Coturnix japonica: one gene and its partners. The protein of the gene in region 2 interacts with the protein of the main gene of each other region in a pairwise test. Links are inferred from orthologs where the notes say so. Each region holds a gene or a part of one and is shown on either strand. Other genes may lie near its edges.

Region 1 (3,747 bases), on a different chromosome or scaffold from region 2:
TGATAACTGAGGAGAGACAGAGGGAAGCTGATGTCATTAGAGTGAAACAGCTACAGCACATATATTGAGAGCACAACAATATTAAAGTGCTTTAAGTATTTCATTTTTAATCTTATTTCTTGAGCAGTGAGGGGAAAAAAAATCCAGTGACTGGTTGGTTTACTGATAAAACTTGAAACTTGTTTCTTTTCCCAGCATCTAACACATAACAATGAAACAGTGCATTGTTAGACTGGAATTCCACCAGAAGGACACTTTTCCATCCTTCTTTGCTAATTAATCCTATTTTCTCTGGGACTTCTGAAACAATCCAGCCCTCATTCATTTCTGAAACAAGCCGATTTAGTTTCTCAGCTTCCTGCTGTTTCAATGGAAAGGAAAACGTGTCAGTTTTTCCTATGACCGAAATGATAACGTCATTTTTTTGGATACCTCTGTTGTAGAAAAGGAAAATCAGCATCAGAAACCCTATGAAAAATACTGACAGTTTATATAAATACTTGTCACACGCAGGTTTAACAGAAGTCTGTTCTTAACCTATTCCAGCTGTCTGGACTTCAAGTAAAAGCCGCAGATGATCAGAGCTGATAATTGTTGGCAGCGTCCAGAAAAAGGTACGTGTACTTCTCGACAGTTGTTTTAAGGTAGATGTGAGCAGATACGTGACTGTTAATCATTAAAGGCACTTTATATCTTGTTACATTTTTACTCTGTCCCACTTACATATTTTAACCCTTTTGGAACATTTCCTCTAAGTCCATCTTTTCACTTACCATAACCCAGGCAGCACCACGCAGCTGCTTTTTAGTCTCACCATAAAGCCCCAGGATCCAAAGCTGTGTGCTCATCTCTCTGCTCAAAGCATCCATTTACCAGCAGAGCAGCGTGCCCTCGCTTGGCCTCATTTTGTTAATTGGGATTCCGCAACACAGGGCTGCGTTACAGGCACTGCTGGGTGCAGCCCTCATGAACAGCTCTGTGGGCAGCTGGAAAGAGCCAACACACCTCACCAGTGCACCTCACCAATGTGCCCAATGTGCCCAATGTGCCCAATGTGCCATGGTCTGACAACCAGCAGAAATGCGGCTACGGAATTGTCTTTTATCATTTGTTCCATAGAAATGTGATATAGATTCTGAGAAAATGTAGTAATGTTGAAACAATGATTTTCTTACCTCTAAGTCTAAAGGGGAAAATTAAAAAAAGAAAGCACAGCGATAGAACCAATTGGGTAACAGGAGCTGAGCGTTCTCCTGGCCTGCTGTTATGTAAAACATTACAGTTCTGTAAGCTGTTGGCAACGCGACGGGAGAAACAGGCATAGGGCCGCGGTTCGGCGAGTGCGGAGCAGCAGCGAACAGGAGCCGGCGCACAGCGGCTGCTCGGCGGCCCTGCCCGCACCCAGCGCTGCCCGGAGCGCTCCGGACGGTGCGGGAGGGTCGGGGCGCCTCCAGCTCCGCCGCCGAGTGCCGGCAGGCGGCTGCAGGCCCGGCAGGGCGGCGGGGCCGGAGGTCAGGCGGGAGGGCGGCACCGCGGGCCCGGCGGAGCGCAACCCGGGCCGGGCCCACCCCGCGCTGCCGACACCGGCCCGGGGCCCGAAGCTGCCGAGGCTTCCCCCGTCCCGCTCGGTCAGAACGGCCGCAAACGGCTTCGGCCTTCCGGGTCGCCCCGGTGACGGCCCGGCCCGATCCTTTCGTTCCGGCACCACCGAATCACGGATTCGGCTCCCCCCGTCCCCCACCCCCTCAGCCGGACCCGGACCCGGACCCGGACCCGATCCGTTCCCCCCGGCCGCGCTCACCGTCGCTCTCGGGATCCGCGGAGCCGCTCCCTGCTCGCGGCCGCCGTCACCTGATCGCCCCGGAAGCGCGGCCCGGCGGAAGGGACCGGCCTCTCCCCGCCGCTCCGCTCCGCGCTGCGGGGCCGCGTTCCGCCCGCACCGAGCGGTCTGTGCCACCGCGCTGTGAGTGAGTGAGCGCTGCCTGCCGCACCGCGGGACAGCGGCCGGATCAGCCGGATGAGCCGGGGCAGCGCTGCCTGGGCGCCGCGTCTGCCGTCCCGCTCTGCTTTCAGCGCAGCCCGTCCGTCGCGAGGCGCTGCGGGGGCTGCGGCCCGATGCCTCCCACTGGAACGAGCGCGGACTGCGCGTCATCCGCGACAGCGAGTGTCCGGGAGAGCGGGGGAGAAAGTGACAGCGGGGAACGTTACACAAAGGCAACGGAGTGCGGTGCTGTGAGCAGGAACAGCTCCGGGGACAGAGCGAACAGCCTCGAGGAGGGATTTGTGTGTACAGCTACGAGGAGAGGACGGGCCCGGGGCTGTCAGAGCTGGGACAGACTTGGAGCGGGACAACCCCAGCCTGGAGCCCAGCGCCCTGAGAGGAGCGCAGTGATGAGTGCGAGAGGAGCCTCTGTTAGAGCAGGGCGCTGTGTGAGCCGTGTCCGCTGCCATAGACGGGCTGGGAGCACGCGGATCTCACGGCACGTTCGGACGTGCCAGCTGGGAGTTAGTGTCAGTGTAAAACCGTGCGGGGCTGAGCTGCTCATCCATCGGTACCGCCGGTATGGACACGGTGACCCGGCAGCACTGCCACAACTGCCGGGCACTCGGTGTATTGCACCAGCGCAGCCCTCGGACCAGCGGGTGGAGGCGGTTCCCCGTGCCGTCTCCTCGCTCCTCCCGTTCATTCCCCGCCCTTCCCGCCGTTCTCCTCCCGTTCCGATCGCTCCGGTTCCGCCGCGGCCATCTCGTGGGGCTCGGTGGTACGGGACTACATCGCCCGGCATGCCCCGCGGCACGGCGGGAGAACTACAGCGCCCGGCGTGCCCCGCGACGCGCGTGGCTTCAACATGTCGGCGCCCAGGGCCGGCCGTGGTGTGGACAGCAGCTCGGACTCGGAGAGCAGCGACGGGGCGGCGGAGCGGTACCGGGAGGCGGCGTGGGACTGCGGGAAACTGCGGGCGGGCGGTGAGCGGGAGCGGGGTGACGGCGACCGCTCTGTGCGCTGCACGGCTGCTGCATGGCCGCTGCATGGCCGCGTCTTCCTGACGTGCCCCTTCCCTTGCAGGTGCCGTTCCGAAGGATCCGCCGCAGGCAGCTCGGCACAGCCTCAGGTATCGATCGTGTTCTGCTGAGGGAACACATGAGCTGTGCTGCTCAAGGCCTTATTGTGCCGTTGGAATCGGTGTGATTGCGATCTGAAGTGATGCTTAGTTCTAATAAATGAATACAGTTATTTCGGAAGTGTATTTGTCATCCCTCTAGCAGTAAAGCAAAAGTAATTGAAAACAAATGTCTGCTGGCAGTTTCACGAGTTCAAGTTAGCAGAAATGCCTCATTGTGCCCTAATTCTCCCGTGCCCCTGCCATGAAAAACGTTAATAGTTACATACAACAAAACTGATTACTTGAAAAATAGAGGGTTGTATGCAGAAGGGCAAATAATTCCAGTGTGACTGAAAACCTGATCCTTTATTGGGTGGGAAAGCAATGTCTGAATTAGGTGCTTTGTACCAAGGGGGATGCTGAGCTACGTAAGCTTGCAGCATTTCTGCAGGCTTGGTCTCAGAAGCTGCCAGCTGTGCAGCTCAGCGACATGTTTCTTCTGGGACAGATTTGCATGAATTGTGGCAGTGCATTCAAGAAGCTCCTACCAGAGCGGGGATGTCCTGCCATCATCTCTTTGCTTCTGCAGACTGTTTCAATGAGAAAATCATCCCATTGCTGCCAGGAAGATGGCTGAATAATG
Region 2 (3,747 bases):
TGAGCCCTGAGGGGCATCACTAGTCACTGATCCTTATCCAGACACTGTGCCACTGACCACCACTCCCTGGGTACAAACTTGCAACCAGTTCCTCATCCATTGAGCAGTCAACCCATCAAATCCATACACTTTCAATTTGGAGAGAAGGGTGTTGTGGGGACCCTGGCATTTTCTTTCACAAAAAAGAAAACACAACCACAGCACTAATTTAAAAGAACCTTATACTAGAGACAAAAAAAACGATGCAGGAAGAGACATTTGGTGGGCATCTAGTCCTACCTCCAGCTCAAAGCAGGTCCAACAAAAGTAGGCTGCTCAAGAACTTGTCTCACTGAGTTTCTGAATATCATCAAGGATGGGGAATCCACAGTCTCTCCATTCAATCAGTTCAATGAGACAACTGTAACGCCATTTTTTTTCCCCAGGTTCCAGTCATAATTTATCATGTTCCAGCTTTTACCTGTTGTTTCTCATCCTACCCCTGTGCGCCACCGAAATGTTTGATTCTCCTCTGGAGTCAAGTACCTGTGGTGGGTTTAAGTGGCCACCTTTCTGCCCCTCTCTCACATCACATAGTCCCGTCCCTTAATCTCCCTTATGGCATTCTACTGGACTCACTTTGGTGTATTAATGGATTTCCCAGAACAGGGCACAGCACTCCAGATATGGTCTCAGAAGTGCATGGGAAAGTGAAGAACCACTTCCTCACCCCTCTCTGCATTCATGCTAAAAACAACCCAGTGTGCAGTTGGCCCTCTTTGCCACAGGTCTTTTTCTGCCAACTTGCTTTGTCTCCAGTCAGTCCCCAGAGCATACACGTATTGATGTACAGTGTTACTTCTCAGATTCAGGACTTGGCACTTAACAGTTAACTTCACAAAGCTCCTGTCAGTTCATTAATTTCTCCAGTCTCCACACAGCCCTCTGCAAAGCAGCCTGTACTTGACACACTGCTGCCTCCCTCCCCCCCAAGTCTGAGGCCATATGCAAGGTTTCTGAGAGGCACACCAAAGATTTGTACCAACACGACAACTTCATTGTAGAAGTTCTCATTTTTACGCTTCTTTTTAATTAACTAGGCCCACTCTAGCTCCACTCACACTCCGCACTTACTAAACCTACACTTGACCTCAATAGACCAATTCTCATGAATCAAGACTTAAATATCTGCCTGAGCAGAAAGTTGGCATTGTTTAAATATTACGTTGCTGACTCAGGAGTCATAATAGAAGACATTTCATCTTTATACATCTGCATTGCTCCTACATAATAAATGGTAAGAAAAAAACCACCACACATCCACAGTATCCATCAGGCCTTTCTAATGACACCGAAGCACAATTACTAGTAAAAGCTTCCATTTTAGTGAATTCAGTTTCTAGTACCCAAGACTGCTCAAGTATAAGATGAAGATGATCAGGGGGCTGGAGCACCTCCCCTATGAGGACAGGCTGAGGGAGTTGGGTTTGTTCAGCCTGGAGAAGAGAAGGTTGCGGGGTGACCTCATTGCAGCCTTTCAGTACCTGAAGGGAACTTACTCCCAGGAGGGGAGTAAACTCTTCGAAAGGGCTGATATAGCAGGACTAGGGGTAATGGTTTTAAAGTTAAAAGAGGGAAGATTTAGGTTGGATGTTAGGGGGAAGTTCTTCATTAGGAGAGTGGTTAGGCCCTGGACAGGCTGCCCAGGGAGGTTGTGGATGCCCCGTCCTTGGAGGTGTTCAAGACCAGGTTGGACGGGGCCCTGGGCAACCTGATCTAGTAAAGGTGTATGTTTGGTGGCCCTGCCAGGCAGGGGGGTTTGGAACTACATGATCCTTGAGGTCCCTTCCAACCCGGGTCATTCTGTGATTCTGTGTGATTCTGTGATAAGCAAATCAAATACAGTAAAGTTCTTCTGAACCTCAGTTCACCGCTCTCCAGTTACCAAGATGTCACTTAGCAGCTTACAAACTGCCAAGCATCCCAACACCACCAGCAGCAAACAAACAGCACAGCTACTCACTGCAAGTCTAGGGAGGAACACAGTATGGCACGCGATTGTTACTCTTCCCTTCTCTTTTACAACACAAAATCACATAGCAGACTCCAGAACAAATATCGACTTCCTTCTTGGAAATGATGCAACTCAATTTTTGCCATCAACATACTGTTTCCACTTGAAAACTGTTTGGGACTCACGTTACAAATTTTAACTGCTACTGCACATATCTGCTCTTGCAGATACTCCTATTCTGCAACTACAGTCGAGTTTAATTTATTTGTAGCTCTATCTGTGTTTACCTTCCATGCAGATAAACCTCTGCCTTTTGATACAGGGAAGAGGAACATTCTGTGGTAGAAAAACCACCAACTTTTTTCTTGCCAGAAGGAAGCCATGTTTACCGAAGTGTTATCCTCAATGCCACAGAGAAGCAATTTCACTCCTAACAGCATTTCACAGAGAGACGGCCAGAAATCTCCTTACATTCCTGCATGATGAAGATATTGGATGGTCAACTCCACTGCCAGCACAATACCATTCCTTAAAGCACATGTGATACTATAGTAAAATAAGAAAAAAGATTTACACATTGACGTGCCTGATGAACTAAACCACTTGTCAGCACCAGCCCATGAATGAACACAATGTTTTTCAGCGCTCGTTGTTAAATACCAGATCCTTCCCCTCATAAGACAGCTGCTTACAGACAGAGATGGTAAGAATCTGGCTAGCACTCCAATAACCCTGTTCTGGAATAATATCAGCTAACCTTCACCAAAGCCTCTTCCCAGCCATCAAAGCGAAAGATACTGGGCTGTTATTCCCCCTCCACCAATTGTTAGTTTCTCCATCAAGCTGCAGCTTCACACTTTCATTCAGAACATGTTTTGCTACTTTGGAATTTAATTTAGCCTAACCCATGAAACTAACAAGATAAATTAATGAAATGACAGAAGAAAGAAAGAGTGCAACTTGCCTAGACTATGATTCAAAACAGTGCATGAGTTAATCACTGTTTACTACTTTAAGTTTTCATAGAGGAACAAGACGGTACCCTCCAACCTATATTACACTAGTCAGGTTATTACCTACATGAGCAGCTTCACTTTTGTTGAATACGCAGGACATCAGCAACCTGAACATTTCAACTCTCCTCCTACTCTGAAGACAATTCCTCTGTCTCTCAATGGGGAAACTGTTGTCAGTCTCACGTACCTCATTTATAAACTCAAAAGGTGCAAAGCTGCAAAGATCTCTACAACGCCCCATTCCTTAAATCAACGTGCAAGGCCTTATTAAAACAATTAAAAAAGACAGAAATGCTACCAAAAAAAAAAAGAAGCAAAAAATATTGAAGTGTGAGAAGATTTTAAAAGCCTTGTCAGCCCCTCCCCTCCTACATCACAAATCCCTCAGCTCCTACCTGCAAACCAGAAAGCAAGGCAAGGCTGAAGGCTGTTGTAGTGATTTCCCAGAAATACTATTCAATGTCACAGAAACAGAAAGCACTAAGGATACTTAGGCATATCAGTATTAAACTTTATCTACAGGAAGAATAGCACACTTCACAGAATTACCTCTTCACCAATATTTAAAGTGAAATTTGGTGCTTCCAAGCACAGAAGTCAAATACCATCCAGCTTCTCCCTTTTAAATGTTTCTGGTTCTCCCACCTATTTCAGTACCAAGATGAGAACTTGAAGATGAGAGCAAACTCCCTCTTGTGTTCTTCCCAAATGTGCCCAACTCCTCCCCAGGCACCTGCT
Region 3 (3,740 bases), on a different chromosome or scaffold from region 2:
TCCTATGAACAAAAAGTACAGAAATTCTTTTACTGCAACAGCCATGGTGATTAATGTAACACAAAATAAAAACAGAAAACAGCTGCCTCATTTTCTAACTTACCAATAATCCAATTTCTCTCATGATACCCTCTTCATAAATTAGATTACATAGCAGTGACTGTGTAAAAAGCTGTGTTTTAAGAGCCATCAAGCTCATGTACTCCAAGGGTGAGAAAATACATACCACAAAAGTATCATATGAAAACCGGTGTCGCCTCTGAAGGTGCTCCATGAAGTTAGCACTCCTGTAATTTGGATCTCCCCATGGCATTGAGGCACAAATTGGGCAAACCTTGAAGAAAAAATTAAGTCAGTTAGGCCCCAACAGTTAAGTGTGTTCAACATTTATACTATGAAGGGCAGAAGAGAGGGAGTGTGGAACACTAAAGCCTGAGATTCGTAACGATTACTATTCTCTAAGCAAAGTGACATCAAATACTTTGCTGGGCCACTCAACATTCAGGTTTAACAGAGGCTTTTATTTAAATTGATTTCTTACGCCTCTGAATGAGAATGGTTTATTCTTCTCTCTACATATTGGAGATGAGGAGATGAGAATCAGTCACTGTTGTCTACTTCAGAAGATCTCAAACTTCATTAATCAAAAACAAAGAAGTTTCCTGGACTACCTAATGTACTTTGAATGCCTACCATTTTCCAAATATGAGGTGAATGTGAAGTGGATGTAATTGTACATTAACAGAAGCAAGTATAAATTTGTAATTAACTTTAAGCACTAAGTGTCTAATTCATTGTTTCAAGGGGATTTAAGACTAGACTTCATTGCAATTCTTGCACTGAGACTTTTTATTACCACTTGTCTTGCATCCATGCTGTGCAATGTTTTGCAGTGTTCAACTAGTCCTTCTTGATCAAAGTTTTTCTCACTGCAGTACGGACAAGGAAAGGTAAAGCGATTTGGGAAGTTCCTGGTTGAGGGGGAAAAAGATGAAATACGTTGTCATATTAGTAAAGCTAAAAGCACACACACACAAAAATTAGAATAGCTTAAAAGACTTTGAATTTGCTACTTGGAAGTTATCTTAATAGCGACTAAGAATAAAAATTATTCAAAACAATGATCTTATTCCATGCAATCATGACAGGCAAATTTAAAGAATCATCTTTTAAATTCTTAACAACATCTTACAGAAATCTTCACATCGTAAACTTTTACACAAAGGTATTTCTTCAAAAAACGTTATAAATGCCATTTATCATCTTATATTTTTCATGTTCTAAGCGCACAGTGTACCTATCACCCAGAACGCTCAAATGCAAATAAGAGCAATGCAGTCAGCTCCACATTCCCTTCATTATAAGTTACTACAATCAAGAGACAGAAAGACAGCTATTATTAAATAGGGAGCTACTTTTATCAAGTACTCCAGTCCTGTCTTGTGCAAAGACTGCACGGAGGAGAATAGTTTGATTATGTGCAGTCAGTTGCAGGATTATGGCTTATTTTTAACAGCATCAAATGCTAATAAACACAAACTAAGGAAAGAGGGAAAGTCTGCTTTCACTTTCTCTTTTTGTGATCCTAAAGATGAGTACTTCCAGAGAAGAGCTACTTACCTGGCATTGTGAAGTGGTTCTTTAGTTACAGCCTTCACACCTTCCATTATGTAATTCTGGTACTTTGCACAGGAGGCTGCATGGCTGCGCATCTTTGAGAGGAACATCTGCATAGACAACAATCACACAGCACTTAAACTGTTTGCAGCAGGACACACACAAAGCTTTGTGCAGGTAGTGCTAAAACAGGAAGAAACGCACATTTCATCTGGTGAGCTGGAAAGCTCTGAGATTATAAATCAGTTAATGTATAACTGCTGCCTGTAACATTTGAGAAATACAACACCGTTCCACATACTTTCCTTATCTTATACTCCAGAATCAGGAAATATTCTTATAGGAAGTCAGCTTATTTTGTTACTGAGAAGAGATGACACAGGAAATAATTCAGCTTTCTACACTTACTGTGGCATAGGTTTAAATTCAGATTTCCTTATTGTTAATTTGAACTTTCATTTGCGGGACTTAACAAGTGGCGATCGAGGAACTACATCTTTCTATCAGCGCAACAATGAAAGCAGCACTATGCAGGAATAGAGGAATCGACGTGACACCTCAGCAGCGGGCACCGAACCGAGCGGGTCGGGAAGCTCTGCAGCATCCATAGGAAACGGAGGAGGACCCACATCCCTGCGGAGCGCGGACAGCGCGTCCCACACCGCACCCAGCCCGGCCCTCCCGGCTCCTCGCTGGGCTCCCACCTTCTTGCCGCAGCCGCTGCAGCTGGTCTCGGTGCTCTCTATGAGCTGCTCCAGGTCCAGCGCCCTGCTGCCCGCGCTCAGCGCGCCGCGGCACACACCGCACAGCGGCTTCTTCGGCTTCAGGCACTGCTGCAGGCACGGCGTGCAGAACCTGCGCCGGGACAAGGGCACCGTGAGCACAGCGGGCACAGCGGACACTGTGAGCACCGTGAGCACAGCGGGCACCGCCCGGCGCTCCCCGCGTTCCCCGTGCGCCCAGAGTGCCCCTCGCGGCCTCCATCCCGTCCCGTCCCGTCCCGTCCCGCTCACACGTGTCCGCAGGGCGCCCTGACGGGGCTGTCGAACACCTCGAGGCACACGGGGCAGGTGAGCCGCGCCATCAGGTCCGCCCAGGGCTCGGGGTTGCGCATCCCGCCGTCCCCGCCGCTCGCCATCGCCATCTTCCCGCCGCCAACCAGGAAGCGGCTCCAACGCAGCCGCAGCTGCACCCACCGCACGCCGGGCCGGACCCCACGGGGCGGAGCGGCACCGGGACGCGGCCGGGCCGGGGGTGTGACCGGAGCTACGGGGAGCGGCCACGTGACACCCCGCCCTCGGCCCTTCTGACGTCACGCACCGGAAGTACTACTCCAGATAGGAGGCTATCTACTTCCGGGGCGCCGCTGTCAGCTGCCCGGTGCTGCTCGCACCGTCAGCCCGTGCGAGCGTGAGCCGTGCGAGGAGCCGTGCGGGCCCTGCCCTGCCCTGCCCTGCCCTGCCCTGCCCTGCCCTGTCCTGTCGTGCGGCCGGAGCTGCTCGCGCCTCCGCCGGTAAATCCCCTGGCGCCGTGTGTCGTTCCGGCGGTGCAGGCTGCTGGCGGGGGGGGCGTCTCTCCGCATCCGGGTCACCGGTTGCTTCCGGCTGAGCGACGGCGGAGCGGAGCGTGTGGGAAGGTGCGGGGCCGGGACCGGCAGCGGTAGGACGAGGAGCTGCACAACCATAGCGCCGGGCCGGGGGGTGCGGGGCGGGGGGTGCACAGCGCTGAGCTGCTGACGGAGCGGCCTGGGGCTGCGGGCGGCTCCGCTTTGTGCAGCTGCCGCGATGTCCGGCTGGGGGGGCTGGCAGCCGGGAGAAGGAGCTGAGCGCTCCGGTGTGCTGAGGGCAGCGCGTGTCCGGCGGGTGGGCAGTGATGGTGCTGGGCAGTGCCCCGTGGTGGCGGTGCTGGGCAGTGCCCCGTGGTGGCGGTGCTGGGCAGTGCCCCGTGGTGGCGGTGCTGGGCAGTGCCCCGTGGTGGTGGTGCTGGGCAGTGCCCCGTGGTGGTGGTGCTGGGCAGTGCCCCGTGGTGGTGCTGGGCAGTGCCCCGTGGTGGTGGCGCTGGGCAGTGCCCCGTGGCGGTGGCGGTGGCGGGCAGTGCTATGTATAAACATGAAGTCAGAGCTG

What was found.
Region 1: the proteins of UBE2K (region 2) and RNF185 interact in binary tests that used the Homo sapiens proteins (3 or more experiments, as listed by UniProt). The link is inferred for Coturnix japonica from reciprocal best matches to the Homo sapiens genes UBE2K and RNF185.
Region 3: the proteins of UBE2K (region 2) and RNF114 interact in binary tests that used the Homo sapiens proteins (3 or more experiments, as listed by UniProt). The link is inferred for Coturnix japonica from reciprocal best matches to the Homo sapiens genes UBE2K and RNF114.

What each region holds. Positions count from the first base shown.
Region 1 is NC_029530.1:8,057,157-8,060,903, forward strand, and holds the start of RNF185 (E3 ubiquitin-protein ligase RNF185), read right to left. Parts: upstream 2,577-3,747; 5' UTR 1,802-2,576; intron 1,470-1,801; exon of another isoform or gene 1,176-1,469; intron 1-1,175. UniProt on the Homo sapiens protein: E3 ubiquitin-protein ligase that regulates selective mitochondrial autophagy by mediating 'Lys-63'-linked polyubiquitination of BNIP1.
Region 2 is NC_029519.1:62,495,544-62,499,290, forward strand, and holds the start of UBE2K (ubiquitin-conjugating enzyme E2 K), read right to left. Parts: upstream 2,441-3,747; 5' UTR 2,434-2,440; coding exon 2,281-2,433; intron 1-2,280. UniProt on the Homo sapiens protein: Accepts ubiquitin from the E1 complex and catalyzes its covalent attachment to other proteins. In vitro, in the presence or in the absence of BRCA1-BARD1 E3 ubiquitin-protein ligase complex, catalyzes the synthesis of 'Lys-48'-linked polyubiquitin chains.
Region 3 is NC_029535.1:12,350,831-12,354,570, forward strand, and holds the start of RNF114 (E3 ubiquitin-protein ligase RNF114), read right to left. Parts: upstream 2,880-3,740; 5' UTR 2,762-2,879; coding exon 2,631-2,761; intron 2,473-2,630; coding exon 2,322-2,472; intron 1,728-2,321; coding exon 1,621-1,727; intron 972-1,620; coding exon 857-971; intron 335-856; coding exon 227-334; intron 3-226; coding exon 1-2. UniProt on the Homo sapiens protein: E3 ubiquitin-protein ligase that promotes the ubiquitination of various substrates. In turn, participates in the regulation of many biological processes including cell cycle, apoptosis, osteoclastogenesis as well as innate or adaptive immunity.